Alligator mississippiensis: one gene and its partners. The protein of the gene in region 1 purifies or fractionates together with the protein of each later gene. This does not show direct contact. Links are inferred from orthologs where the notes say so. Each region holds a gene or a part of one and is shown in the gene's direction. Other genes may lie near its edges. The genes, in order: EXOC3, EXOC7, EXOC8 and EXOC1.

Region 1 (7,408 bases):
GCTCAGCACCACAAAGCAATTGGAGGGAGAGCCTCAGCTAGACCCGTATCCTGCTGAGCAAAGAGGGGCAGGGATAGCTCTGATTTTCTATGATTAAAAAACAAAAAACAAAATCAAATGCCAAAAGATATTTAGGATTTATTTTATTATAATGACTGAGGCACCGGTAGGCTTCCAAATAACTTTAAAATTGTAAATATATCAATAAAACATGGCGTTCAACTCATACCTATATATTTGGTGTTGCATTTTAATCACAGAAAAATGCGGCTATTGGGTTTTTTAATCAGAGAATTTGGGATTTTTTTATCAGACAAAACCAGGATCCATGTAATGATTAACTTCACTCGCCTAGGGTTTCAAACTGCTTAAGATGTTGTAGACATAATATATCATGCTTCTGTCTACCACATGAAGCTGCACTGAACAGTAGTAGCTCTGCCAAGGTACCACACAAGACCAAAGAAGGTTCCTTTGATTCATGAATAGATTCAGGATTTCCCCATTTTACAGATTCTAACACTACTCAAGATACCAATGCTGTATGGTCATCAGCTGAATAATGATGACAAAGAAGAGGACATTCATTTCCTAAAACAATATAAACAAACACATTTTTGGCTCTGAATCTATGACTACTGGGCAAAATATACTTGTAGGGATAAAAATTAGAGTTGCACCAATTTATTGGTCCATATCATATCAACACTGATAAAAGGGAAATTGACATTATCAGCAATCAGCTGTTTTTGGCTGATGTGGCCAATAATGTTGGTGATAAATGCCACATGCAAGCACGTGGCCAGCCCAGCAGCTTGGTGTGCAGTATATGGCTGGTAAGTCTGTTGGGGGCAAGAGGCAGGGGGAGAGAAGGGGCATGGGGTGGGGGCAAATAAAGGCCCCCATGGTGAGGGAAAAGAGGGGATGGGGCTGGGGCAAGTGCTGTCTAGCCAGGACAGGGTGCAGGATGGAGCTGCGAGCGACTCGTCTGTGGGGGTGCTGGAGCAGAGGGTGGCTTCCTCCGCATCTGTGCACAGGGCAATGGTGAGCTGTTGCTTCCTACTTGTTTCCAGAAGTGGCACCAGGCTCTTCCTGGAACGGGGGGGGGGGGGCACGTGGCAGGGCTGCACTTGAGCTGGGTGGCAGTGGGAGGGGGGGCTACGGGGTGGGCTACAGCCCTCCTAACCTCTCCTCCCAGCTCCACTGCCACTCACTCCAAGTGCAGCCCTGGCCCAGCCCCGCCACACCAGAAGAGCCTGGCACCGCCTCTGGCCCCAAGTAGGTAGCAGCAGCCCACTGTCACCCTGTGCACAGGTGCAGGGGGGAGGCTCCCCCAGCATGAGCGGCTTGCAGCTCCAGCTTGCAGCTCCATCCTGTGCCCCACCCTGGCAGAGCCTGCCCCATCCCCAGCTCCCTTCCTCCCCCACCATGGGGGCCTCAATCTGCCCTCTCCATGCCCCTCCCCCCCAACAGACTTACCAACTGGACACTGCTCTCCAACCTGCCAGGCTGCATATCGGCAATTGGATTGGTATTGGCCAATATGGTTTGTTAACAATCAGCCATCGGTATGGGCCCAAAAGATCTTTATCAGTGCACCCCTAGTAAAAATTGTAGAGATTGATAAACAGTTAGCTAGCAGTGACTCTGACATTAATAACAGTGATTCGAGGGCATTGTGAAAACATTACAGAAAATGTTATGTCTGGAGCTTCCTTTCCACAAGGAAAGTATATTTACTGCTTCATGTCCATCAAGATTCAATATAATTTTTTGTAAGGATGAGTGGAAACAAATTTTTCTAACATCAAAATTACTGCTACAGTTAAACAAATGGACAGATGCATTTTGGCCAAAAAATTAAAATAATACAGCATGTTCTGTGTTTTAACATGATTATGTTTAAAAACAAAAACACAGAAATCGAGACAGATGAATGTTCCTTTTTGATACAAAGCAAAATGCAAAATGCAACTGGGATGGGTGTTTTTGGTTCTTTATGAGAACTGAAGGGAGACCAGGAAAACATGATCAACATATAATAAGTGAAATTCAAGTAAAAGGAGAAATACAACACAAAACCGGTAAAATGCATGAAAAGCACACATGCTGGAAAGAAAGAGGAGAATTAAGAGAACTGAAAAAACACTGCCATGCATTTGCATTTTCACAGACCTACATTTTACATATTGGCTTCTATTCCATCCAGGAGAGCACAAAACAACAGCAGACTCTCCCCATGCCTGAAGAAGGGTGTTTGTGCCTGAAAGCTGCAAAGAACAATATTTCCAACTATTTAGTTGGTCTAATAAAAGACAGTCCATGGAAAACAAGATGTTTCTGGTAAAGAATACATAAAACTTTATGTGCTCACATGCAGGACATCACTGCATCACCTTTCACACTGCTCATGTACAGGACACCCACCTACACCTAATGTTTGATCTTTAGAGAGCAAGGGTGTGTAACTTATACCTGGATATCAGGGGCTCTGTTGTTAGAAGACCTCCATCATGTAATCATTTAATCTTGTATTATGAATTATATGCTAAGTTGCTATCCAACTCAACAAACATGTCAGTTGCAGAGACACTAACAGTTGACCAGAGTATTCTAACAATATCACGGTGGCAAACCTTGCTTTTCCAAGCAACTCTTCCACATCACAAAAAGTAAAATGTGACTTCAGTTGGGCTTTAATTCCTACAGCTATTTAGGTTTTCAAGCATATGAGTGCTATACATCACCTAATGCCCACTTTGAATTACGTCCTGGGAAAAGGAAAGCTGATATTACAATTTTACACACATGTGTAACACATATGATCAAATATATGGGCATGTATCTAAAGCTGCAGCTTCTAAGAATGTCAAGAATTGTTTATATATGCCTTTGCCTTATTGTGAACTGAAAAAGCAATACATGAATGCAGGCAATTAATAAACTCAGCATAATTTTCAGTGCAGCACATTTTAACAGACAGTGCAGGGAAACAATAACAAAAGTAAAACAATGTATAAAGAAATCAGCAGACCTCTGTCTCTCAAAATGAGGCTGAATCAGGTTCCTTATTCAAAGTTAATCTTTACACAATTAAGAAACTGGGAATATGGAACTGGGAACAAAGAACCAATCAACTTCAGCTTCCTCTCTCCAAATCATTCTAAACCTTGACTAGGAAACTGTAATTGAAAAGAAACGAGAATCAATTTGCAGTCTCAAAACACATTATTGGAAGAATACTTGAAAATCAAGCTTCAGGGTGGGCTGTGCCCTGTTCAAGGTGCTTCCAGAGAGTCCCCTGATTGCAGAACTATGTCACTGATGGTGACCCAACACAGATTTTGCCCCACAGTCTCAACCTAACTCGGCTCCTTACTGAGCACGGTGTACAAAAGTCCAAGGGGGAACCTGCCAGGTGGCACCACGCTATACAAAAACCAGGCTTTGTGTTGGGCAGCACCTCTGCCTTTTTCTAGAGGGCAGCCACGTGTATAATAAACACAAATGCTTTTAGCTCCTATGGATCTGAAGAAGGAACAGGGAACCGTGAACAAGGAAAGAAGAACTGGGGACCAGGAACCAACTCCAGCCTCAGAGGAAGGGAGAACTGGGCCCATCTGGACAAGATACAGAACCAGGCCTGTCTGGTGAGGTGAGAACTAGGCCGAAGACCTGGGGTCACAAAGAGGTTTGGCCAGTGGCACCCCAGTTTTTTGCCCTGGGGACTGGATGGGCAGGGCGGCAGCCCCATCCAGCCATGATGGCTGGGCAGAGGGGCAGTGGCTACCACTCTCCAGCTGCTAAATTTCCCACCCCATGAGAAGCCCTGTGGGCAGTGTTACCAAGTCTGCTTATAGTAAGCAGAATTAGGCTTGTTTTTTGGGTTTTTTTAAGTTGCTTTAATTTTTGGGGAGTCACGGGTTGATAAGCACCCCTGCTCTCCTCTCTTGGAAACGGGTCAGGCATATTTTGAAAGGCAGTGCCGCTCTCTTTTCTGAGGAGACTTGACAACACTGGCCCTGTGTGGGACACCAGGGCACGGCCGGGGTACGTGAGCCACGAGCAGGCGGCAGAGCATGGTCAGGAGGTGCAGATGCTTTGGCCACTGGGATCCACTGCCGCTCACCCCAGGCCCCGGCCAGCACCTGGCTCGACGCCTCGAACCCACCCGCTGGCCTCCACGTGCAAGAACATCGCAGGCGCGTCCGTGAGCACAACACTGGTTCTCGCGAGACTCCCGCCTTCCCCTGCAGTACGCCCGCACGGAACAGAGGGGAAGGGTTGGCGCAGGCGCAGTAGGTCAGTAGCGACGGTCGAGCGGGGCGGGGGAAGGGTTGCAGCGCAGGCGCAATGGGGGGGAACGGGGGAGACTCGCGGGCGTCGCTTCGGCAGTTGCGTCAGGCGCCTGCGCAGTGTGCGCCTGTCAGCGGCTGCTCGGGGCCGCCGCGGCAGCGGGCGAAGTGACAGGGCCGAGCCGGGCTGCTGCCGGGTGAGTCTCCTCCTTCTCCTCCTCCAGGGGCCCGGGGCCGGGGGGAGCGTGCGGGACGGGCTGTGACGGGGGTTGGGCAGCGGCTGTCCCACGCCTCTGGCCCGCGGCCCTGCGCAGGTGGGAGCTTCCCTCACCGCTGGCTCCGCTACAGAAAAATAATCGTCTCTTGAGCTTCGCTTGTGAGCCGTGTTGGGGCCCCTCGGCGCTTCTCGCAGCCTCGGAGGCGTTTCAAGAGGCTGCAGCGGGGCCAGGTCTTACATATGAAGTGATCGCTTTGGAAGCTCCAAATTATCGTATTTGCTGAAACGCTATCACAGATCCGCAAACAAGCACGCAAGCGAGTCTTTTATTGCTCACTACAAGCCGTCAGTGAATGGGTGGGAACTGGGTCGTCAAAGTTGAGTCATTTCTTTCTTTCAAGGCCAGCCGGCATGAGAAAGTGCTGACAGCAAACCTCAAAGTGACTTCAGGCTCCCAGAGTGACATGGGTTTTGCATGTGCCATGTCAATGAACTCCCCAGCCCTGGCTTCTTTACTTTTCATTCCATCCAGGAAGAGCACACACCAACTGCTGAAACTTCCTTAGCCTGACGAAGGGTTTTTGAACTCGAAAGCTTGCTTAATAACTATTCTCCAGCTATTTGGGTTGGTCTAATAAAAGATATCAGATTCGCCCAAGGAACCTTGTCTGCCTATGTCCTTAGACCAACACAGCTAAAACCTACACCCCAAAAACTGGTGTACATTTTAGCAATCAGGACTCATAGTAGAGATTATATCTTTTATTAGACCAGCAAGATTTTTGCACGCACAAAAAAAATTCTTTAATTTTTTTTTTTTTTTCAAAAATCTAGTTGGTATAATGAAAGATACTATCTCTACTACGAGTCCCGATTGCTTTTTTCTCTAGACCAATATGGCTACAGCCTGGATAACATCATAAATTTTAAACACTTTTCCTGTTGTTGGTTGTACATCATGCAAAGGTTGAAATTATACAAATAGGATAATTATTACATGCCTGGCAAACTGGTGCCATGGTGCCCTGGGGGAGAAGCACTGCCCTGAGGCTTTGTGCGTAGAGGTCAGGTGTTCTCTGACAGGATTTGTTTCTTATTCAGGAGGCTGTCTCACATCCCACTGATGCTCTGCCCTCACTTTAGGACAGTGTTCATGCCCTTTACAGACATGGGTGACGCGTAGGGGGTGTGCCAGCAGTGAAACCACTGCACTTCCGGTTTTGCTGCTGGCTCGACGATCCCCCCTGTCAGTGATCTGGTGCACCCCCAGACTCAGGAGGCACCAGTCACTCGTGCTCACAGATAATACGGCCCTAACCTCCCATTTCCAGTTTTTCTTTCCAGCCAGTGTGGATGGACAGCAGCTGAATGTGGCAACCTTGCTGTTGAAATAAGTTGCTTTGATCAACAGTGCAAAGGAAATTAGTTTTCACAAGTCTTGTTTAAAATGAATGTGGTTAGATTGGGAAAAAACACCTTGTTTACTAGTAGGGACCATTTCTGCCAAGGAAAGGCAGGAGCTGTGCTCTTGTAACTGCGTTCTTAATGGGGATTTCATGTGTGTCACTATTTTGGTTCAGAAAGAAAAGCAGACCCCCAATTGAAATGGTTATTCCTATTGAGTTTTTAACATGGACCAGGCTTATATTATGTAATTCATATAAACAAGGTGTGGCTCTTTTCTTGGCAATTCACTAGGAATTGTAGGTGACAGTGGTGTTAGGATAGAGGCTGCAGTCTTGTTTTATGGTTTCTACTTTCCTTCTATACTACATGTATCTAAAAAAGGCCCTAATTTTATGCTGACAGTTGTGTTTCATTTGAATCTAGGAGTGATTTTTTTTTTATGTTTCCAAAATCATGTTGAACAGATGATGAGAATTTACACATTTTCTGTTATGACACATTCTTGTTCTTAAAGGGCATTCTAACATGTCAAACTGAGCATGTGCATATATACAAAGATAGCTGCAGTACTGAATGCAGATTAAGTGCTTTTGCACATGTGTTGTTTTGAAATGCAGAGTACTGGGAGTTTCAGAAGACTATAGTTTGTGTGTTTGCATGTGCGTGCAAACATGTTTGTGTTCAGTAGGAGTTTTTTTTAATTTCAGAAAGATGTACAGTTTGTAGCATCACCTTATAAGACCAACAGTCTCTTACCAGCAACATTTTCCTAGGAACATTTTTCAAACCATATATTCAGATGATACTCCCTAAAACAACAAGTGTCACTTAGGAGCAACATAATTTGTAGAAGGGATTGACTGTTCTGTGAGTTTGTATTCCCCTTTTATTTTTAATGGGTTAACCAAAGCCTTCACTATGGTAATGAAGCTGCCTTGTGGCAAGGATCTTTGATTCTAAAGCTTAGAGGTAATTAGAAAAATCTTCGGGGTGGAGGGAGGAACATTATGGACTTCCTTTCCTTTTCCGTGTCCTTCTGACAAGGTATTTAGCAGAATTCACAGATACGTTGGAACTTGACAGGGCTGTGCCATGAACACTTCTGCTATGGCCTCAAGCTTGCAACCTCTGGGCTGTCAACCAGTGGGATGGAGGAAAATGGGGCAGAGACCTGTCTTAACCCTAAATTAAGGGACTCTTTCAGAATGGCTCTTTCTTTCTCTTGTTCTCCGTAGAGATAGAAGTTGAGATAGAAGTTCCTATACTCTCAAGACTTAAATAGAAACACTGTGAGGAGTTGGTGAATAAAGGGAGTGGACATCTTTGGAGGCTGGTTTTGGCTCAGTTGAGCAATGAGACAGAGGTACCATTTTGGAAAATTTGTGAGATTCTCCAGAGAAGATGAGACTGGCATGTAAGTAAGGGTGCACCGATAAAGATTTTCTTGGACGATGCCTATAGTTGATGATTAGCCAACCACACATGCCAA
Region 2 (7,044 bases), on another chromosome or scaffold:
ACTGTTTCCAGCCATTACCAGTGTGGCATGGCTTGAATCTGGAGGCCTGGAGATGAAGCGCTCAATATCCTAACAGCACATCGGTGGCAGAGCCACACAATCCTACAGTCTTTTTTTTCATTTACTTTTGGAAATAAATATTGGGTTGTTTGTTTTTTTTACTTTAGCAGACCCTCATTCGGTGACCCTTTGCATTTTATTAGCAATCAGTGCTCTGTCTGACAGTTTATCTTTCATGCAGTGATGAAAGTGATTTGCATTTGGTCTGGTGCTGTACGGGTGAATGGTGCCTTACCAGAGATTGATGCTTATCTGTGGTTTTTATTTATAGTACATGCTTGATTATGTGACCAACTGATTATTGGCAGGTGCTTCCTAGACAAGAAGATTGGTTCAGAGACTACAAGCCCTGCCCCTTCACAAGACCTTCTGCAACATAAATTCAGTTCCTTGCTCCAGTGAAAACAGTGAGGGGAGGTTGGGTGCAGGAGACAAGGGTTGGTGCCTGAGAAATGGCTCGCATGGTTCTCTTCCCCCAGCTCCTCCTTTTTCCGTCAGTGGGCCAAGCCATCCCACAGGGGGTGAGCAAAGCCTTTTTGCTGGTCTTTTACACATCAAGTCCTATTCAGGAGACCCTCACACAATATGATGGTGTCAAGGGCAGGGTCTAGGCAGCACCTCTAGCATCCAAACCTTATAGTGGATGAGTGGGACAGCAGGAGGAGCAAACACGCACAGTAATTCCATCCTGCGGAAAGAGGATGGATTTCCTGAAGCTCTGGTTAATGCCCCTTTCAGCTATATGACCCCTTAAACAAGCCTGCAAGCTAAGACAGAAAAAAACACTATTTATGCAGCCAGATCAGCAATACAGCAGAAACACAGCAGCAGTTTGGGGGGAAAGAAACAATTCCAATATTGCTGTGGTTCCGCTTACGCCTCAGATCTCATTAAGATAAAGCATGTCACTGCTGCGGCAATAGGGTACAGGATGCAGGCACCAGATCAGCAGAAGAAGAAGGTGACTTGAAGAAGTTTCTATCTATATATGTCAAACAGACCTCTCCAGCCCTGCCACCTCAGTTGAGCCTGAGAAATAAATATGTTAACGCAGTCACCAGCCAGCAATTTTGCATGCAGAAAACACAGTTATATGCCCCCCCATTCAAAGAGGCAGTTGCACAAACACAGCTGTTTGCCACATGATAAGGCTTTCTGCAATAGAAACTGAAGTTACTGAACAAAGGCTAATTTCAGCTCCCACCAAGCTACAGGGAGAGAGAATAATCAATGTGTGCCAAAGGGAAGACAAGTGAGAGGGGGCTTTTCCCTTCTCACTCAAAGTCTCCAGGAGGGCTTAACCAATAGCAAATAAAATCAAGCCACCCAGAGTAATGGGATGGGGTCTCAGCCAAGGGCAGCACCCCAGAAACTGCAACAATCCTGATTGCTGTGAGCAGCACAAGAGGCTGCAAGAAGAGTCAGTGCCAGATGCAGTGCAATTAAAATCCTGTCCCTAGCTGCCAGCAGGGGACAGAAGATGGATGCACCAAGGGGCATGGTGCTCTTTCTCCTCAAGAGGCTATGCAGGATGGATCTGGAGCAGGGTTAACTGGATAAGGATTCCTGGCTTCTGGCCTCATAGCTATAACTGCCTTTTTATGGGGCACCAGGCAAGCCCCTTTTTGTTTCTCCCTCAGTAAAATAAGGCTGATCATTCCTACCCAGCAGAGCAGCTCAGAGATGCCATTAGTTATCGGGAAAGCCCGTTGACAGGTCAGATACTTTGGAAGGGCAAAATCCAGTTGCTTTAATTTTATGACCAATGTGTCGCCTAAATCAGCTCTGGCCCCACTGTGCTTGGTGCTGCCTACATAGCAAATGATTGGTGCTCTGATTTATTAACAAGCATCACCTCAAGCTTCCTTCTTCTCATGCCTATGCTGCTCCCTACTGTAGTGCTGGATCCCAGCTGCAAAGAGCCAGCAAGGGAAATTCCCTCCTCCTCTCTTTATGCCAGGTTTCTAGGCACAAGCAGTATACTCCCCGGTAAGCTGTCCATTTCCCCCTTCCCTCTTGGTTTTTTGACTTTATCACACGCAAATCTATTTAAATTGTATGCAGATCTGTTCTCAGTATGGTATGATATTCAACTCATTCGGCAGCATCGAGATCTTTTCTCCCACTGCAAATGAACACTAAAGATAAATAGCAGGTGCGTATGGCGAAGCGGGGAGAGAAAGGGGCAGTTTGGATACTTTGCATTTGTTAAAATAGTTTTGCTCCATGGCTACTGGAGGTCCCTGTCTCCAGTTCTTTCACGTTGGTGCTAGCCACAGAGCCTCTCTAGCTGTCTAACTCTCCCCCCTTGAGGATGTAGAGAAGGAAAGTTGGTGCCAGGGGACATCTGGTGGACATGCTGCATTTTGCACAGTTCTGGCACTTGAGCAGGGCTGGGAATTGATCACGTTGCTGTCACTCTCCTGCCATCATCCTCATGATCACAGTCATGATGTTGGACTTCCAGTTCTCTCAGCATTTTCCACTTGGAAGGCACAGGTCACACTGAGACCTGCTGGCAGCTAGAGGCTCCCAGGGGATGCTGCCTATCTCTTCTTACATACTTCCAATCTAGCAAAGTATTTCTGTGCCCCTGTTCCCCGTAGCACCTGAGAGCCTCTCTACTGCAGCAAGAAAAGACTGCATCGGGATGAGAATTATCAGGAGGAAGGTATACGAGGTCAGGGTGCTCATGTGAACTCCTGAAATGAGAGGGAGTGTCTAGGGACCTCCTCTCATCTCCACGTGCAGGGGGAGCAGTGCACGGCACCTATTAGGGCTAATTGGCATTTCTGTGCGTCAGCAGCAGTTAGTCAGGCACTGAGGTGAGAATGGTCACCCTGGCATTCAGTTATTTTTTAGTGGCAGCAGCAGCACAAGGCACTGTGACATCCATTAACAGGGCTGAGCACTTTTATGGCCTTTCCCATTCAAGCATTGCAGAGTATGTGAAAGCATTAATCTTCGTGATGCCTCTGAGAGGTTGGTAAATGGCATCTTCAGGCACGCTTAGAGCGAGAGGAATAAATGATGGGATAAAGAGATTATCCAGCATTGAACCAGAAAGTCAGTAGCAGCACTAGCAAAAAGAAACCAGGGGCCTTTACTCCTGATTCCCTGCTAGTCAACATCACAAACTTGTGGATAAGGCACAATATGAGGTGCTTTATCCATCAGCAGTCCTGGGTTTTCCAGGGCCAAATGTCAGGCTGTCCCAGAGTTCTCCAGGACTCCCTCTCGTGGGATGCAAGCCCCAAATTTGAACAGCGAAGCCCAGATCGGTATAGGATCAGGTCCAGCATTGGACAGGCCCGGAAGCTGACCAGCCGCTGCCAAGGTCAGGGCTGCTATTAGCCAGCTGTGGGCCTCAGAAGCGTCTCCTTGAAACGTGGTCACTTGAACCGGAAGACTGGGAGAGCCTGGGCCCAAAGCAGCCTGCTGGGAGACGGGAGAGCAAATGTACTTCATCGCCTTGTGCCTCAGTTTCCCCAGGCAGAACGCAGAGGGAGGTGCTGCGCTCCCGGGTCGAGGACTGCCACCCAGCAATGAGATGCCATGCAGGGGCCAGCGAGGATCGTGCACATGGGGTACGAGAAGAGAGAAGGGCCCTTGATGCATGCAGGTGAACCTCGATTTTGCCTGACACTGCTCTAGCGGAGGCAGTAAGAGGTACAACAGCCAAGGCATGGCATGGCACGCGCACCACATTCCTCATCTGCTCCCTACTCATCACTAGAGATGCATGCAGTCAACACTCCTGGAAAGCAACGACACTCCCAACGTGGCCTTCCCCGGGCCACTGCCACTCCCAATATGGCCGCTCCCTGGAGGCGCGCATGCGCCTTGTGTCCCTATGCAGCGCACCTGTGCGCCGGTTCCCGCCACTCCCAAGATGGCTGCCAATGCCGTAAGGGGCGGGAGGTTGCCACTCTCAAGATGGCGGCACGGCGGTGACGGGGCCGCGGCCGGGTCGGGCGGAAGTGGGCGGTGGAGGCTGTTGCGGCCCGGGCTGTAATGCGGGATGGTCCCCACGGAGGAGGCGTCCGCGCGGCGCAGGGAGATCGAGGGCAAGCTCAAGCAGGTAGGGGGGCGGGGCGGGCTGCCGTGGGGGGGGGGGGGAATTTCCCCGCCCCGGGCCTGGGCGCACACACCCACCCCAAAGCACACCCTCCCGGCTGCAGGCCTGGCACACCCCACGCTGCACCCCCGTCCTGCCCCGGGGCCCGCACCCTGATCCGGATTAAGCTGCAGCCTGAGGAGCACCAAATGCAGTCACTGCAGCCCCAGCTTTGGGGAGCTGCACAGCTGTGGTGCGCCCACCCTCCCTACATGTCTGTACACATATGTGCCATGTCTGCGTATTCGTGCGCTGTACATGTATCTGTCTCTGTGTGTTATATGACACGAGTAGATATACACATGTACATGCATGCGCTCGCTCGCTCTCTAGGTATAGAAAGGAACTCACTCGCTCTTATCTATATATTGAGAGAGAGAGCGAGTGTGCACACACGTGTGTATATTTGTGTGTCCTAAAGAAAGCCTATGGTCAATGGAGAAGAGCGAGAGTGCACAAAAACATACCTGTATGTGTAGATAGATATAGAGATCTCTCCATGTAGGTTTATATCCGTATCTAGCTCTTTATAGATATAGAGATCTCTATCTAGATATAGATATATATCTTATCTATGGATGTCTAACTATAGATCTATCTATATATGTAGATACACACACACACACACACACACACACATGTCAGCATATATGTAGATGTGTGTGTGTGAATGTATATATATAGAGAGAGAGAGGGAGAGCGTAGGCTTGTCAAGCATGGCCCACAGGCTGGATCCGGCCCACAGAGCCCTATGATGCAGCCCATGGATCCCTGGACTGACTGCACACACTGCATAGGGCAGGTCTGGGTCTGGGCCTTGGCCCTGGCCCTGGCTGTGTGTGCTGCACGCGGTGCATGGTCTGAATCCAGCTCCTCCCACTGCACGCAGCAGACAGGTTAGTTCAGGGTATGCACTGTATGCGGTGCCCTGCCAGACTGGCACAAACCTATCCTACCATTCGGTTTGTACCTGCTGCGTCCATTGGTGGGCACAAGGCAAACTGCTGAGCCATGTTTAAATTGAACTTGGAGCATGTCAGACACGGAGTGAGCAACATAGGTAGGAAGCAGACACTAGGACCAAAGTTGTGTCTGCGCTCTGTACCTGCACCATAGATTTTGCTTCTGGCTTCCGGACTGCAAGCTGTACGTTGTTGCATTGAGGCTCATCATGCCCAAGGAGAAAACCTTCCCTTATTTAAATTGTGTGTTTAGGTCACACTGATTATGTTGCTTTCTTTGGGGTAAATACATTTAAGTAGAACCTAAATACTAGGTCTAGAATGATTTGCCAGGATGTTCCTTCTAGGAGGAGTTAGAAATGCTGGGAAATGTTTTGCCTCTGAGCTTTGGAAGTTCACCTGTGCTGCAGAATTGATTTTTTTTTTCTTTCTTTCTATACCAATACCAGGAAGAAGAAACACTGTCTTTTATAAAGGAGAGCCTGGAAAAAAGTGATCAGCTCACAAAAAACATGGTAAGTCAAATCCCTTGAATTCAGTGAAAAAAGGAAGGGTATAGTTTGCTTAGTATCTTGTTTATATTGTTAAAACAATGGTCCAATGAACAAATTACCTAGAGATAAATTGGGGTGTGAATTTATAATGTTTCAGGTGCTCTGTGGTAATTGCCCATGTGTGTGCTGTTGTCTTGCAGTATGTGAGAAGCATTCCCTGCTTCCGTGGAGGGTCATGTCCTATTTGCTGCAGGGTTGTAGCATGCATATAAGCAGTTATCATGCAGTAGCTGATCTGTCAACCTGTACGCTATCTTACTGGGTAGTAATTTGTTTGTCTGACCATACCTTGATAGGATTTTTTGGGGAAACTGATGCAGTTTTTGGTACCTGATATAAGAGTTATAAGATATGTGATGTATTAGACCTCTTGGTGAAAGAGGAAAGGTGATAAAGGTAGTTGGTTAGAAGCCTGTTGTTTGTGAAGCTGTAGTCTCTCTAGGTTCCTGTATATCTCCCCTCATCTGAGTGTCTCCCATGTATGTGGAAATATAAGTAACTTTCTCTAGTCAGCAACAAGCTTATGTTGTTGAGTTTTTCTGTTTCTATTTTTTTAACTGTTAAAGAGGAATTTATTAGCAAGCTGGGTTGAAGAGTTGAGTCTTGCACTTAGTCCTGAATACAGTGATTTTTGTGGCTTTTTATTAACTCATTTGTTCAAGAGTTCTGTAGCTGAGGTCTGTCTCCTTAAAGATCTGTCTTCCTATGCTTGTGAGCCTTTCCATGACTGGTTGCCAGTCTCATGGTTCCAGTGCGATGCAGCTGATGTTATGAAACCTACGTGTAGAGAAGAGGAGATGAATTGGATCAGGATAGACAGGTTAAGTGACTTGCCTAGGGAGCTGTAGTAAATCCATAGTAGAGTGGGAATAGAGGCTGGGAGTTCAGGATTCCCTGCTCCCTTCTCTAATTGCTAAGCCAAAACATAGTGCTGCTGTCTGTTCCCCTTTTTCCTTTGGCTTGTAGGTTTCCATCCTTTCCTCCTTTGAGAGTCGCTTGATGAGACTGGAGAACTCAATCATCCCTGTGCATAAGCAGACCGAGAATCTGCAGCGCCTGCAGGAGAATGTTGAGAAGACCCTGTCCTGCTTGGATCACGTCATTAGCTACTACCATGTGGCAAAGGACACTGAGAAGATCATAAAGGAAGGGTGAGTACAGCTGCAGTACACTGCTGTCCTCAGCTATGTTGCTGGATCTCATTGCTGTTTAGAAGAGTAGGAGTTGTTGGATCCCACAAGGATCTTGGTGATCTCAGTACTCTTTTACACATTTCCAAGACCTTCTTCCCACTGCATGCTGCAGACATGTCAGCCAGACCTATCAACAGTGCCCCCTGAGGGAAAGAGCT
Region 3 (7,451 bases), on another chromosome or scaffold:
TGGATCTAAATGTAAAACAGGAAGTCAAGTCACAATGTTTATTCCCATTTTATAAGAATCATCCGCTATATGTATGTCACCATCTCTACATGCATAGTGTTAATATCATCTCTCAATTCCTTGGTGATGGGCATAAGGAAAATGATCATGCACGACAGGGTTGAAGCAAGGCACAGAGTTCAGCTGCTAACAGCATGCAGCACGCATGGAAGCCATTTTTAACATGAAACAAAGTCTTTCCTCAAAAGTCAGCATCTTTAGATTTAAAAATTCTCGTTAATACTACATAAAGATCATTTATCCAATAATCTCTCAAACAACTTCTTAAAACAAAGCAAACCAGCCTTTCTTTTTCAAAACTGAAGGGCTTTTTCTTCAGAGTTCATAAGGCCACTTCAAACCTAAAAATGAAAATAATCTCTGGAGCCATTCTAACTGAAGAATTGCATGTTCCCAGCCAAATACACAACAGAGTTCAGGCAAGTGCAAAGCCCCACCAACCTCAACCTACATTTCCCTTACGATGCAATGAATACACATCCACCCAAGGTTACAGTTTGGCTACAGAAATGCCTATATATCAGTCATGGTAATTCAGGAATATGTAAATACATAATGCTTGAACTGCCAGATAGACAGACAGAGTTTAAATCTGCTAGATAGCATTTTGTTAACTGTAAAGCACTTACTGTAACATTGGCTCCAGTCAAGCGATTGATGCGACGCATGTGCTTACGGAACTCTGGCCCGTGAGAGTCACGGTCTCGGTCATCGTTAGTAACGAACAGTAGAGCGTGAATCATCTCATGTAATAGAGTCTGAAATAAAAAAGCAACTGCTGATGTTTCTTGAAAAAAAAAGTATATTATTTAAAATATAGCTTATAGGTTGGTTTTCCCATTATTTTTTTATACTTATTTTGGTAATGAATCCTATTTCTATGAATCTACAACTTAAGTATGGGGTCAGGAACATACTACAATACTTCTCTAAACTGCCAAACCCACAAAGTTTCTCTCCGTATGACCCAAAGGGCATTCTAAGGAACCGTACTGTGAGAAACGATATCCAAACTTTGCCTACCTTCCCATGGGTTTTTTTTTTTTTTAAATACTTCACTAGGAAGGAGTGGAGTAGTTGCAAGTAGTAGATACAAACATTTTGCAAAACTTCTTATCACTAGTCTACATCTATGCCTATTTTCTAAGTGTCATAAACCCAAGTTGGTCCCTTAAGCTCCCCATATAAGGAATAAGGAGTTAGGTGCCTCAGAATGGAATTCCGCATAGCCAGTGCACTGAGCAGGCAGACACCAAAGGGTATGACACATGTAATACTTAAACCTATTTAAATAATGCAGTTTAAATCTGAAGCAGATAGGCATAAACCCTCTTAAACCTGTTTAAAGCTGCTTGGAAAACAGATGTTTCATTTGAGGCAGTCCTGATTGACCCAAGTCAAATCCCAGGGTAAGAGAGAAAGTACAGACCTTCCACACTACATTGCTGCTCAGTCACCAGAACAAACAGCCTGACAGGCTTGTCCCTGGAACAACTGGCAACTAACTCACATGAATTACTTTCAACTTAGTTACCACAGCATTGCCCTAGAAAAAAGTGTTTGCCTATCTTGTATCCTATACTTCACAAGTACTTGAAGTGGGACAGAGACTACATTAGGATCTTCTGTTCCATATCTTACATACTTCACAAGTACTTAAATAGGCTAACAAAAGGCAACATCTGTTTACATCCAAATAGTTCAAAGGGGAACCTGGAAAACCAGGGTAAAAAGAGGTCAGGTGTACCCCAGATCCAACTGTCCTGGGCTTTGACTCATAGCAGGTGCAGAACAGTAGTTTACACTCACAGCTTGAATGGCAATTAACTCTCATAAATTCTTAGCAGAGAGGCAAAGAACAGCATGAAGCTTACATTTATAGTCAAACCCCGCATCTTTGCTTTTGGGTAACTGGGCTGTTTGACCTAGAAGTAAAACTGAACTACTTTATTTTGCACTCTAAATGGCAGAGTAAACTTTTAAACAGTTGGAAGGAGCATTTCAAGAGCCAGAAAGCTAATTTGGGGGATTTTTTTGAAAGTTAAGGGAGTCAGAAAAGCATCAGTTTAAATAAAAGTTGTGACTGACAGATTAACAATTTACATGTTTAAACAACTAACAATAAAACACCAAACACAAGGTTCTTAGAAAACCAAAAGCTACTTCACAATCTACAAAGCACTGTGAATAAAGCCTCCCTTGCAAACTATCAGCTATCCTTTAACAGAGATAATAAGCAGTCAGTCTTAAAATACCTCTACAAGGTCCTTCCTTGGTCTTAGCTTTAACAACGGTTCACTTAGGCGGATGGAACATATTCCACCCCTTCCTTCGTAGCTGCACACGCCAGCACAGCTGAAAGAGAAATACAAACAGAACGTACAATTCCCATTTACTTTCATAGCTGGCAGAGCAGAGTTGAGAAGTAGATTTACAAATACTGATCCCTCTTAACATAGCTGAAGTAAGCTGTACTTGAAAAAGAGCTCTCCTTCAGATAACTATTCAACCTTGCTAAACTAAGAATCAAGTCCTTTCAAGTATTAAATCCTTTTACAGTACAGACTAGAAAAGGTCATCTTGGTAAGCACTATCAACCCCCCCCAACAAACAAACAAAAAACAACAATCCATGACCCACAATTTACTTGCTTCCATTTGATAACACTTGATTCAGAGTTAAGAACTTGAGACATACCATTTGTGCATTCAAAGGTGACCTGTTCTGTCTACAAACCAGCACTTTCATTTAAAAAACAACTCAGGCCTTGCACAGAACAGGAAACAGAAGCCCAAACCTGTTCTTTGCAGTGCAGATCTGCTGAGTGTTGCCCTTCGCCGAAATCTACAACTTTCTGCTGCTGCATTTAAAAAATAAATGCACCTCATAAAAACAGAGCAGACAGCTATGGCCCTGCTACAAAGACAGTGCAAGTACCAAAATCTCAAGCCTGACATGCAGTTTGGGAAAGATTTTGTACTTGGACCAAGTTTTACCTTGTGCGGATGTGGAAAACATAATGTCAAAAAAACCCAAAACCCCAAAAACTACTCTAGGTCTTTAAGGGGACCAAAGCAGAGCCAGGTGGCTGCTCCAACTCACCCCTGAGGAGCCAGCACTCAGACACAGCAGTGAGGACAAAGGAGCCAGGTTCCCAACAAAGCCTGGGGCTGCTGCTATTACTGCCAATAGACAGGAGTCCCAAAGCTGAGAAAGCCAGCAGGGAAGAGGCCAGGCATCAGGGCTGGGAGCATGGGCAAAAATAGGATTTGGAGAAGGGGGGTGCAGACACTGAGGTGCATAATTCTCTGGGTAAAAAGAAACTAGAAGCTTTCCCAACAGGCTTGGGGCCTGGGGCTGTGCTGTTCCACTTAACCAGAAGGGAAAAACCAGTACAGCTTCACTGGAACGTGCATCCATTTGCTATATCCCATGTTTTGTATACCCCGCCCCCAACGGAACGAATGAGGCAAAAAAAAACCAGGAGGCGGCATTTCTTTAGCCCCGTCCTCGAGAATTAACTGTCTGTCTCCTTCAGATCCATAACACAAAATCAAGCCAGCTTCAGCATCTATCATGGGATTGATTCCCACACCCAAGTTCACTATCACCTGAGCTCAGGAGGTCAAAACAGGACCATCCACGATTACCTCACCCCACCTGAGGGATGCATGGACGCACTCCAACGAACATTTTGAGCTAGCATTAAACAAATGACACGTGGCTAAAATTGGTTACAAACAGCCTGCCTGCGGGGGCCGTGAAGTGGGAGCTTCAGGTTGCAGCAGGAAGCCTTGCTGGCAAGGCAGGAAAGGGCCCCCGGGGCAGAGAGAGTGCGCGCGCACATATCGGGGTGCAAGCCCTCCCTCCCCCGCGTACAGCGTCATCCGCGAGCTCCACGACACCTCCACGGCCGCCAGCCGCCCCCAGAACAGCTCCTGGTTGAACTGCACGAAGAGGCCGTGCACGTCCGGACTCGGGTCCAGCAGCTCCCAGGACTCGTCCACTACGGAGAGGGGCCGCGCGGGCGGCTCGGGGCGGGCGCCGGCCGCTACCTCCTTCTCTTCTTCCCCCGCCTCCCACTGCGCCTGCAGGTGCAGCGCCATCAGGAAGTCCGCGTCCATGATACCGCGGCAGCCGTTCCATGCGCCCGGCTCTCACGACCGTTGAGGCGCTTGCTGTGCGCAACTGCGCATGCGCAATCCGGCACGTAGCCCCTCCCAGCTCCAACCCCGCCGTTAGTGCATGCGCAATGCAGTCTACACAACCTTCCACCCACCCCTGCCGTTGGCGCATGCGCATCCCTCCCTACCCGCCCCCCTCCGCCTTCAGCACATGCGCATCACCCCACTCACTGTATCGTTGGAAGCACGCCGCTGTGGCACATGCGCACTGCGCAGCCTCCCATTCCTCCGCGTCGCAGGGGAAGAAACGCCATTCTATCTGCGCGTGCTCTGTCAAATCGCCTGTGCCGGGTAGTCGCTCCTTAGTGCGCATGCGCCTAACGTCAAAAGAGCGCGACTATCGTCGCGGCGGGACGCATGCGCGGTGGTAGCGTCTGGCGGCCCGTGGCGGGCGGCGGGTGAGGCCATGGCGCTGGCGCTGGGCGAGGGCGGGCTGGCGGCGGGGGGCGGCGGCAGCAGCAGCAGCAGCAGCAGCGGGCCCGGGAGCAGCCGGCTGCGGCGGCAGCTGGAGTTGGGGAGCTTCGCGGCGGGTGAGTACGTGAAGCAGCTGTCTCAGCAGTCGGACGGCGACCGGGACCTGCAGGAGCACCGGCAGCGCATCCAGGCGCTGAGCGAGGAGACGGCGCAGAGCCTGAAGCGCAACGTCTACCAGAACTACCGGCAGTTCATCGAGACAGCGCGCGAGATCAGCTACCTGGAGAGCGAGATGTACCAGCTCAGCCACATCCTCACCGAGCAGAAGGGCATCATGGAGGCTGTCACCCAGGCCCTGCTGCTGCAGGCCGACCGCGACGACCCCGCGCTGGGTGCCCGCCGTGCCGCCACCGACTCTCGCGTCAACAACCCCTTCCTGCCCCTGTCGGCCAAGGAGGTGGCGGCCAGCGAGGAGGGCCGGCAGCGCACGCTTACCACGCTGCTGGAGAAGGTGGAGGGCTGCCGGGATCTGCTGCCCGAGAGCCCCGGCAAGTACCTGGTGTACAACGGGGACCTGGTGGAGTATGACGCTGACCACATGGCGCAGGTGCAGCGAGTGCACGCCTTCCTCATGAATGACTGCCTGCTGGTGGCCACCTGGTTGCCCAACCGGCGTGGTGCCTACCGCTACGACGCCCTCTACCCGCTGGACGGGCTGGCTGTTGTCAACGTCAAGGACAACCCGCCCATGAAGGACATGTTCAAGCTGCTCATGTTCCCTGAGGGCCGCATCTTCCAGGCTGAGAACGCCAAGATCAAGAAGGAGTGGCTGGAGGTGCTGGAGGAGACCAAGCGGAGCCGCGCCCTGAGCGAGAAGCTGCGGCTGGAGCAGGAGGCTCTGCCGCGAGCAGCCCTGCCCTCTCCAGAGTCATCCAACCCCTTCGAGAAGGATGAGGATGAAGTGGAGCCTCCACCTGAGGAGGAAAAAGTGGATCTGTCCCTGGAGTGGATCCAGGAGCTTCCTGAGGACCTGGATGTCTGCATCGCCCAGAGGGATTTTGAGGGTGCAGTTGACCTGCTGGATAAGCTAAACGAGTATTTGGCAGACAAGCCCATCAGCCAGCCGGTGAGGGAGCTCCGGGCGAAAGTGGATGAGAGAGTTAGGCAGCTCACGGATGTGCTGGTGTTTGAGCTCTCTCCAGATCGCTCACTGCGTGGTGGGCCAAGGGCTACCCGCCGGGCTGTCTCTCAGCTCATTCGCTTGGGTCAATCAACCAAGGCTTGCGAGCTGTTCTTGAAGAACCGGGCGGCTGCTGTGCACACGGCCATCCGTCAGCTGCGCATTGAAGGTGCCACTCTGCTGTACATCCACAAGCTCTGCCACGTGTTTTTCACCAGCCTGCTGGAGACTGCCAGGGAGTTTGAGACAGACTTTGCTGGTAACAGCGGCTGCTACTCCGCCTTCGTTGTGTGGGCACGCTCTGCCATGAAGATGTTTGTAGATGCCTTCAGCAAGCAGGTGTTTGACAGCAAAGAGAGCTTGTCAACTGCTGCTGAATGTGTGAAGGTAAGCACGTATAAGAAAGGCAGCACAGTCCAGTCGATTGAGCAGAAACCTGGAATTCTGCAGCCCTGGATGTCTCGTTCTCTCTCAGCTAACTTACTGTTTTTGGGCAGGAGGTGGTAAAACAGATTCACCTATAGCTTCCCTTCTTTAGTAAAGGGAGGGTGTGGAGGGCTTTGCATTGCCTTTCTTCTGTTTGTGTTTTGCCCCACTATTATCAGAAATGCTGGTTTTGGCCTTACTTAAAAGAGTGGGAGTATTGGAACTTTAGCAAAGAATCCTTTTCTACAAAATATTTATTGGATTGGATTTGAATATGCCTTAACATAGGCTTTCAAGAAAAATACTGAACTCCTTTATTTCCCAGTTGCTAAACTGTGACATCTTTATCATAATTATGTTTCATAGTTGATAGGGTCGGAAGGGACCTGAGCAGATCATCAAGTCTGACTCCCTGCCACGAGCAGGAAAGAATGATGGGATCAAATGAACCCGGGTAGGCGATTTATCTAGCCTCCTTTTGAAGACCCCCAAGTTGGGAGCGAGCACCACTTCCCTTGGAAGTTGGTTCCAGATCCTAGCCGCCATGACTGTGAAGTAATGCCTCCTGATGTCTAGCCTGAATCTACTCTCAATCATTTCTGTAAAACACTACAGACATTTATGATAGACAGGATCTGTATTTCTGTCATTTAAAAAAGTTAGATACATAAGTTAAAGAGAGGCAGAATAAAGTGCAGTGTGTATTCTTTTCCAGACTCGTAATCACTGCCTTATTTTTCAGGTATGCAAATTAGGACTAAGAATTACCTATTTTTATGGGTGTTGGGGTGGTTAAGTAGCTTGTGTCTATGTGGCATATAGATAAGTATTAATAATGATGTTTGTTATTGTAGGTAGCTAAGGAGCACTGTAAGCAGCTTAGTGAGATTGGACTGGACCTTACCTTCATCATTCACACCCTGCTGGTGAAAGACATCAAAGGTGCTCTGCAGAGCTACAAGGATATCATCATTGAGGCCACCAAGCATCGCAACTCTGAAGAGATGTGGAGAAAGATGAACCTGATGACTCCCGAGGCTCTGGGAAAACTTAGAGAGGAAATGAGAAGTTGTGGTGTGGGCAGTTTTGACCAGTACACAGGTGATGACTGCTGGGTCAATCTTAGCTACACTGTGGTTGCTTTTACCAAGCAGACTATGGCCTTCTTGGAGGAAGCACTAAAGCTT
Region 4 (7,666 bases), on another chromosome or scaffold:
GCCTTGTATTGCATGTGTAATATATGCAATTAAAATGTTTGACATGTAATTTGTTAATGATATAATACATTAGCTGTTCCTAACTTTATGTTCAAATCAAGAGAGAGGAAAGGTTAGAAAACATGGGAAGTTTCCATTTATATTATATAATATTTAATTGCCAAAATTAGCAATTAAAAAGATAGCTGGGGGTTTGATCTAGAGCTCACTGAAGTCAGTGGAAGGACTCCTCTTAATTTCATTGGTCCTTAGATGAGGCCTCAAATGATGGCACACCTTCTGCCATCTGTCTGATCTGGTAGCACTATCAAATGAGATGTAGGAGACTTTCACTCCACAGTCAGAATGCATTATTCCATTGAGATACAGAAACAGATAAATTATAAATGGAAACAACCTGACAGGTCACATATCTCATCTCTCTGCTAATACAGACTTGCTCTCTACAGTACAATTTCGGGTGCTATAGATGCATGGAATACTTTAAAATTTGTCACCTGGTCTGTCAGTACTTCCCTTGGGAGACTTTTCCAAAATCTAATTATCAGAGAGAAAGAAATTACAAGCATTTGCAAAAGAAGTCTCTCAGAGTACACGGTTAACAAAAAAGTCTTGGCATCATTCTTACAAAAGGCTTTGACAGTAGTGGCAACAGAGGAAAGAGGAGTTTAAGGGACAAAAACATTGCTCCCCAAAATGGTGCCTTACACCTTATCTGGGCTACACTCAGAACACAGGAATTTCCATACACCAACCTAGCTGGTCTGGTGTCCAGGACCAGTTACTTCAGAGAAAGGTTAAGGAGCTGTAGTAAGTAGATATAAACATGACAGAAAGAGCAAAAAAGATTCATGTAGCTGCTTGAGAAATCAAGGTAGAAGGGATTATGTTCCAAAAGAGATTTTTTTTGTCTTGAGGAGTATCTCATTTTTAACATTTAAACTGTTAGAACTGAAAATACAGAGACATGAAAGGACTATTTTAACATCTGTTTATAATACAGTCTTCTTTCTTTCGGTCTAGACTTACATTATTAACAAAAGGTCATATTCCACCTTGCCATAGAAAATATTTAAACATCAACATTCAGTCATACATGGGGACAGTTACACAAATAGATACACAAACTTAGGAATGTTTCACTGAAGTCAGTGTTTCCAGGGTCATTTAACCAGCTAAGAAACTTATCGATATATATTAAAATTGAATACCTTTTTATGTGCGTCTTTTCTGATAACAAAGCTCTCTTTGTATTTAAAATTATTTTATTGTTAAGGTTGTAACTGAGTTTCCATGATATGTTTCATGAAATTGCTGTTATCTCCACTAAAATTCACACACTAAAGAATATTTGCAGAGAACTGGATTGTCTGGGTCTTGGATTCAGCTAGAATTTTTATACCAAACTGAAATTGAAATGGATAATGGAAGAATACAAATAGCTGTTGCTAAATTATTTTAGGGTCTTGTTCCCCTTTACCCATTTAGATCACATTTATGCTGCTTCATCTACCCTCCCAGTATGGTCCAGAGCCCTCCCTGGCCTACTCTTCTTCCTATTATCTGGATGTTCCCCACATACACCCACTTGCAAAGTACAAACTTTTTTTTTCACAATATAGTCTAGTATTGTAAAATGTCATTGTTTCTGTACCTTTGTGGTCCTATAGCTCACCCTCCCTCCCTGACTGCATCATTCCTCCCAACCTGCCATCCTGAAACCAAACTCCCTTGGACATCATGCACAACCTCAGCTTATCTCTCTCATGATCTGCTTGCCTGATATGCTCCAGAAGCCTCTGTACATGTATCTCTGAACATAATTTGTGCAGTTACAACTGTCTCTCTCAGTTGCCTACAGTACTACATTAAAGGTGGTTCTGCTGCTTCTTGAATCAGGAAACCACCCATGGGGCAGCCTGGCACTGGAAACATGGCGGCAGTGGTGGGGTGTCACCTGACCGCTCTTGTAGCCTACCAGTTGCAAATCACTATACTGCATAAGTATGGGACATAATATCTCAAGAAGCAGGGTGAAACTTGTTAAAAAAAGCAAATTTAAGGCCTTCCTCAGTCCATCTGTGGAGAGACAGTAGATGGGGAGGTAAAGACTTATGTGTAACTTAAAAATATTCTCAAAATATTTTTGTAACTCCACATTAGAATTAACAAATTGTTGAAGTTTTTGTTTTGTTTTTGGTGTGCGAATAGAATTAAAAGTGAAAAAAACCTGGAGCTTTGTATTTAGAATTAGGTGCTCAATATCCAGCTAAAGCTGCATGCAAATTCTATCCAATCTTTTATAGCCACTTTATCCAGTCTTTATAGATCCTACTAGAGACAGTTATATTTTGTGGTTTGAGTGAGAAATGATCACATTGTGACTTCTCTTTTAACCCTGGCCCTCATGAATGATACATTATAGAAAATGTATACAGAATATTGTTTTATGAGTTACAAAAGAAAATATATCAGCTAGAAGCATATCACCTGCTAGTGCTTCAATGTGTTTCTATTATTTGACAAGTGTGTGCCAATAATGATGCTGTATGTTTACAACATGGAGGCTCTATTTTAAAAATGACACATACTAACAATTAGATCATTATAAGAACAGATTCAGAAAACTACAGAATCATTTCCCAAGCAAGTCTCCTGGGACAGCTTAGTGGGGGCCCGTTGTGCTCAGTAACAGACATAATGGATTACTTGAATGATACAATTCTAGTCCCATTTTAAGTTGTTCTGTTTCTGGTTGCACCCAGTCCTGACCTTTGGTTGCAAAGGGCCACGTATGAATTGCATGATGTTACCAATGGGATTTTTTTTACCAGAGCCCCAAAGGATTGACATGGCAACTTGTCCGATGTGGTATCAAGTGAACTTTAATAGTAAGCCCTATGCAATATTACAGATTTCCTCCCCATAACACAACCTGGCAAGTGGCTCCTTTAGACACTACAGCAGTAACTTTTGGTGATACCAGCCTTGGGTCCTCTGCTTGGTGTGTGGGATGTTTGTTTCTGGTTTTTCAGCTATTCGAGCAAAAAGTCTACAGTTTTTTGGGTTTTTTTAAGGAATATTTTTCATGTCCAAAGTCAAATCCAAATCCGTGAGTCATTCAAGAACCATATGTGACCCTACTACTGGCAAGCATCCTGTACATCTGCCTGGGGCTTCAGAAGCTTCCAAATCCTTTGACTGGCACCCTACATGTAGGCCTCAGCCTGGAAGCTTAGGGTTTGGATGCCCCCAACTTTTGCTTGCCCTCAGCTTTATGGCCGCAGGAGCAAGCTAGGGAGGAGTCTTCCATTTCCATAAAGTCAGTGTATAGCTGAGATCTTCCCACTGGAAGTGAAAGTGGGAGGCAAACTATGCATTACCTCAGTCAGGGTACTACCCCCTGCCAAGAAAGTGGTTTTGCCCTGCCAGTATGAAAACCATGTTGGTGGTCATGGTATTTCCCTCATGGTCATGGTATAGTTGCCCCTGTCTCCACAGAGATACAACACGAACACACAGCTTTCCCTTTGCTTCTTGATTACTTCTGTAACTTTCTTATCCCAAGTTGTCCAAATCCTTTAGCACTGTGCCAACCATTCCTTATATGGTACACCAATCCTATCCTACTTTTGGTTATCTTTCCTTACAGGGAAAGTGCTATACATTCCTCACTTACAGCATTCCCACTACAGCACTCCTTCCAAAGACTGTCAGGCACTCTGTTCAATTTTATTGCGTTGCTCAGGGAAAGCCTGGACTGTGGCTAAGCCTTAGCATAACTGAGGTTGCCTGCTACACATGAATACACCCCAGGTGACATGCCTTTGTTTCTTTTCGTGGCAAATGTGAATTTACGCCCCATGTCTACCTGAAGCTACGGTGCCGTATCAAGTGTAAAGTGCTCTGAGGCCTCTGTAGGGGCGGCAACGGAAGCGCAGGGTACCATTACTCTGAGTTTGAGGGCAACTCTCCCACAATGGGCACAAGATGGACCAAACCCAAGTTTCACCTCGGCTCTACAAGGGCGTTAAGGAACCTTCTTCAGGAAAGAGCTGTCCAAAAGCAGGTGACGAGATCCCCGGTTCACTAAAGAGGGGGCAGGAGGAAGACCGCGGCTCAGCCTGGCCAAGATGAAGCCAGCGGGAAGAGATGCAGCTGCAGACTGACGCTCGGTGTTGGTGGCAGGGCTGCCCAAAGCCGCGCCACTGGGCCGCGGGCCTCCCGCTGACCTCCCGGCAGAGCGCGAGGGCCAGGACGCGGCACTGCACGCGACCACACCGGATACGGCCCCGCTTGGGCCCGACGGTACGTAACACCCGACCTACTCACCTAGCTCTGATGGACTTCTGACGTCATAATGACGGTAGGGGGGAGGACATCACACACCCCACCCACCAGGATCCAGCCAACCGGAGAGATGGGGGTGGGAAACGCTGCGAGGCCCCGCCTCACTGCCAAGTTAGCCCCGCCCCCGCCCCCGCCCGCCCCCGCCCGCCTGCGTGACTTCCTATTGGCTCGTTCCAGTACCCGCCCTCCCCTGTGGTGGAGCTGAGCGGGCGGTGTGAGGTAAGCCGGCTACTGGCCCGCCGCTCCGCAAGGGGTCGCTCTCGCTTAGTAGCCTCCCCCAGTGCGGGCAGCGGCGGCTCCGGGGCGCCGCAGTCACGTGACGGGAAGCGGGTGGGCAGGGCAGGGCAGGGCAGGGCCGGGCGGCCGCGCAGGCGAAGAGGAGGCGTTGCGTGCCGGGTCCGGCGGTGAGAGCCAGGCGGCCGCGTCAAGGCTTGCCTGGGGTGCGGGGCGGCCCCGGACCCTGACCCGGGAGGGAGCGGGCCGTTGCCGGGGCTCTTCCGCTTGTTGCTTCGGGCGTGGCAGCGGGACGCAGAAGGCGGGGCTGGCGCTGGAGGACGATCTGAGCCTGAGGGGCAGGCTGGGGAGCGGATCCCCCCGATCCTCGCGCCCTGGGGTCTGAAGGCTTCCTGGAGCCGCCTGCCCGTGACCTGGGCTGAGGACCTGCCCGGCAGATGCAGCGCGGGGCTGCGGGGTTCTTCAGAGGTGGTTGCCTCCCGGTTTCTGCCACTCATTACATGTACTGCGTGGTTCACCAGCGAATGGTACAATAAAGCAGGCAGCTGCAAGTGCAAAGTGGTCACCACATGCTCAAAACGACTTTAGCTATAAAAAGGCAACCAGCTACCAAGTGCATGTTTGGGAACTGTAACAACTCTCTAGATCGTTTCTAGCCAGCTTTCATTTGAGCGCGCAGCAGGGCCCTCTGTCTAGGCACAGTGCACTGACCTGGGCTAGCAAATAGCTTAACCTGACAATGTTCCTCTGCTGAGGGATTTTTGAGGCATTGTCACTTTCCAGGTAAACTAGATTTGCCACTGCGCAATGTCCCTGATAGGTTCCATATAGTCAGAGAAGAAGCAGCTCCTCTTCTGCCTCTGCTTGTGATATTATTTTCTTCTAGACCAGTGATTCTCAACCCTTTTTTGGTATGGGACCCATTTGTAAACTTCGATGGCTAGTACCCCTCGCCTAACCTGCTACCCCCCACCCCGCAGTGTGTGAGGTGTAGGGGGCATGGGGCAGGGGTGGGCCCAAGCTGCCAACCTGCAAGGGAAAAGCCATTGTTCCCCATGTTTTTCTCTTTTAAAGGAGAATCCATTTCTAAAGTTTGTACTTTTCATATGGTCTTGCAACCAGTGGGGTTGAGAAATGTTCTGGAATGTGTTTAGGCCATGGTAGGGGTTAGCTTGTTAGCCAGAATTGGCCTTGGCTCCTTCGAAAGCCTATTCTTCAGACAATACTTTTCTCTCCAGTCTGCCCTACTTCATTCTGACTGGGCTGTCTTGGGTTGCAGCTGATGTTGGTGGTGTCCTGTTGCTGATTGCTTTGAAGAGTCTAACAAAGGGTTGGTGTTAGAAGCTGGATGGTGAATCCACAGAAAGATTGGTGCTGGGTGGGATTGATGTGCTCCTTGCTGATCTCAGCTGACTGAAAGGAGGCTGCTCTGTTTTGCCCAAGCAAGAAAGAAAGGCTATATTGCTTTTGTTTTTAGTCCCAGATAACAGCAGTTTGCCCCAGCTAGTTTGAAGGTGATAGGCATGTGGACCACTGAGGTCAAGTCTCTTCCTTCTGGACAAAGAGGTTTTTATTTCATTGCTACTGACCTTCTCAAATCTGGTGAGGTGTTCAATTAAACTCCAAGGTTTGAACTAGCTTGGATCAACGACAGAATGGATACATTTCAGGAGAAGGGTGAACTAGTTTTCCTTGTTTCAGTCAGTTTTGCCTAAGTTGGTTTTGAGACATCTCTTGTACGTTCAGGTGCTTGCTAACTTTACATTTACAATGAATTGTGGTTAGCTTTATTTTGCTAACACTAATAATGCAAAAGCAAGGCCTACAAAAATTGCTAACCACTAATCCGTAAGTTTTAAAAGATTGTTTGGTGTCTCACTCAACCCAGACAGTTAAAATACAGCACTTCTTACAGTGGCAGCACTTGTGGTGGTTAGTTTAATTTTTAACATTGTTTATAGTTGCTTTATTTTGGAATCAACTGGGTTAACTTTACAGTACAGAGCCCCAGCCTGGGGGTAGCTGCCTGAGTCTGTCCAGCAGGGTTGATGGGGAAGGTGTGAGCCTTCTTGGCTGCCCAGGGCTGGGTGGTCTCTGGTCCAGGCTCCCTACTTTCCTTCCTCTGCCCAGGGCAGGGCCACAGGACCATTCCAGGCCTGGAGAAATCATGCTGCTCCTCCCTGGCAGCTGGGCCCCAGGTCTTGGGAGCTGGACTCCAGTGCAGAGAAGGGCCTCTTCCCCTCTTGGTGCTGTTGCTGCCAGAGGCAGGGCAAGCCCCTGTGCCCCGTGGCGGAGGCTGAATGGGCCCAGCCCTGGGAAGGACAGGACCCGACTGGGCTGAGGGGCCAGGGGAAGACCCTGTTGCACAGAGCAGGGGGGAGTGGCTGCCCCTGCCCCTGGTCCTACCAGGCTCTGTCTGTAAGGTGTGGAACCTCAGGCACTTCAGGGTCTGCCCACCTCTTCCCACCTCAGTCACATCTCTGTAGAACTTGCCGTCTTTTACTGAGCCTGCCCCAGCCCTAGCCTGAAGTCTGCTCCATGCCAGTGCTTGGGACACAGCATGAGCTGCTCTGGAGTCCAGTCTGGCCTGCTGGTGAGGGGATGGGAGTAGGGATGGAGAATGGCTTGGGCCCTTGCATCTGGATCAGGCCCTCTGCACTCAAGGTCACCCCGGTTCACAGGAGGGAGCCCAGGTGTCCAGGGCCCCAGTGAGAAGGCATTATTATTGGTAAACATTATCGGCTATAACAGCCAAAGAAAGCTGATAGCTGATAATATAATTTTCCTTTTATCAGTGCTAGTTTGATAGCTAACTGATATATCAGTCCACCTCTAATTTTTTTTTAAATAGCTGTGCTAATTACTTGCATAGGATAAATTATTTTGTGCTGTGGCCCAAGGCCTTGTCCTAGGACTATAGTGTAAACAGTACTTCAGGGTTGATAGCATCACATGGCAGAGAGTTGGTTGGGATGTCAGATGCACACTGCTCTTTACACTGGATTTAAGGCCTTGTTTTAAAGGCACACAGTAGCCTGGGCTTTCCCTGTTTAAAATTGTGTAAAGCTGTGGAACTTTGGTT

The links.
Region 2: the proteins of EXOC3 (region 1) and EXOC7 purify together in Homo sapiens (affinity purification with mass spectrometry; 5 studies listed by BioGRID and IntAct, counting the BioPlex papers as one, with this or other methods). This does not show direct contact. The link is inferred for Alligator mississippiensis from reciprocal best matches to the Homo sapiens genes EXOC3 and EXOC7.
Region 3: the proteins of EXOC3 (region 1) and EXOC8 purify together in Homo sapiens (affinity purification with mass spectrometry; 5 studies listed by BioGRID and IntAct, counting the BioPlex papers as one, with this or other methods). This does not show direct contact. The link is inferred for Alligator mississippiensis from reciprocal best matches to the Homo sapiens genes EXOC3 and EXOC8.
Region 4: the proteins of EXOC3 (region 1) and EXOC1 purify together in Homo sapiens (affinity purification with mass spectrometry; 5 studies listed by BioGRID and IntAct, counting the BioPlex papers as one, with this or other methods). This does not show direct contact. The link is inferred for Alligator mississippiensis from reciprocal best matches to the Homo sapiens genes EXOC3 and EXOC1.

Annotation. Positions count from the first base shown.
Region 1 is NC_081826.1:146,164,661-146,172,068, forward strand, and holds the start of EXOC3 (exocyst complex component 3), read left to right. Parts: upstream 1-4,387; 5' UTR 4,388-4,492; intron 4,493-7,154; exon of another isoform or gene 7,155-7,333; intron 7,334-7,408. UniProt on the Homo sapiens protein: Component of the exocyst complex involved in the docking of exocytic vesicles with fusion sites on the plasma membrane.
Region 2 is NC_081831.1:13,533,155-13,540,198, reverse strand, and holds the start of EXOC7 (exocyst complex component 7), read left to right. Parts: upstream 1-4,033; 5' UTR 4,034-4,081; coding exon 4,082-4,141; intron 4,142-5,588; coding exon 5,589-5,654; intron 5,655-6,659; coding exon 6,660-6,844; intron 6,845-7,044. UniProt on the Homo sapiens protein: Component of the exocyst complex involved in the docking of exocytic vesicles with fusion sites on the plasma membrane.
Region 3 is NC_081824.1:149,731,553-149,739,003, reverse strand, and holds the start of EXOC8 (exocyst complex component 8), read left to right. Parts: upstream 1-4,435; 5' UTR 4,436-4,650; coding exon 4,651-6,225; intron 6,226-7,118; coding exon 7,119-7,451. Other genes in the region: DNA-dependent metalloprotease SPRTN, read right to left, coding at 1-5, 690-818, 2,316-2,415, 3,940-4,184. UniProt on the Homo sapiens protein: Component of the exocyst complex involved in the docking of exocytic vesicles with fusion sites on the plasma membrane.
Region 4 is NC_081825.1:60,853,104-60,860,769, forward strand, and holds the start of EXOC1 (exocyst complex component 1), read left to right. Parts: upstream 1-4,662; 5' UTR 4,663-4,754; intron 4,755-5,088; exon of another isoform or gene 5,089-5,111; intron 5,112-7,666.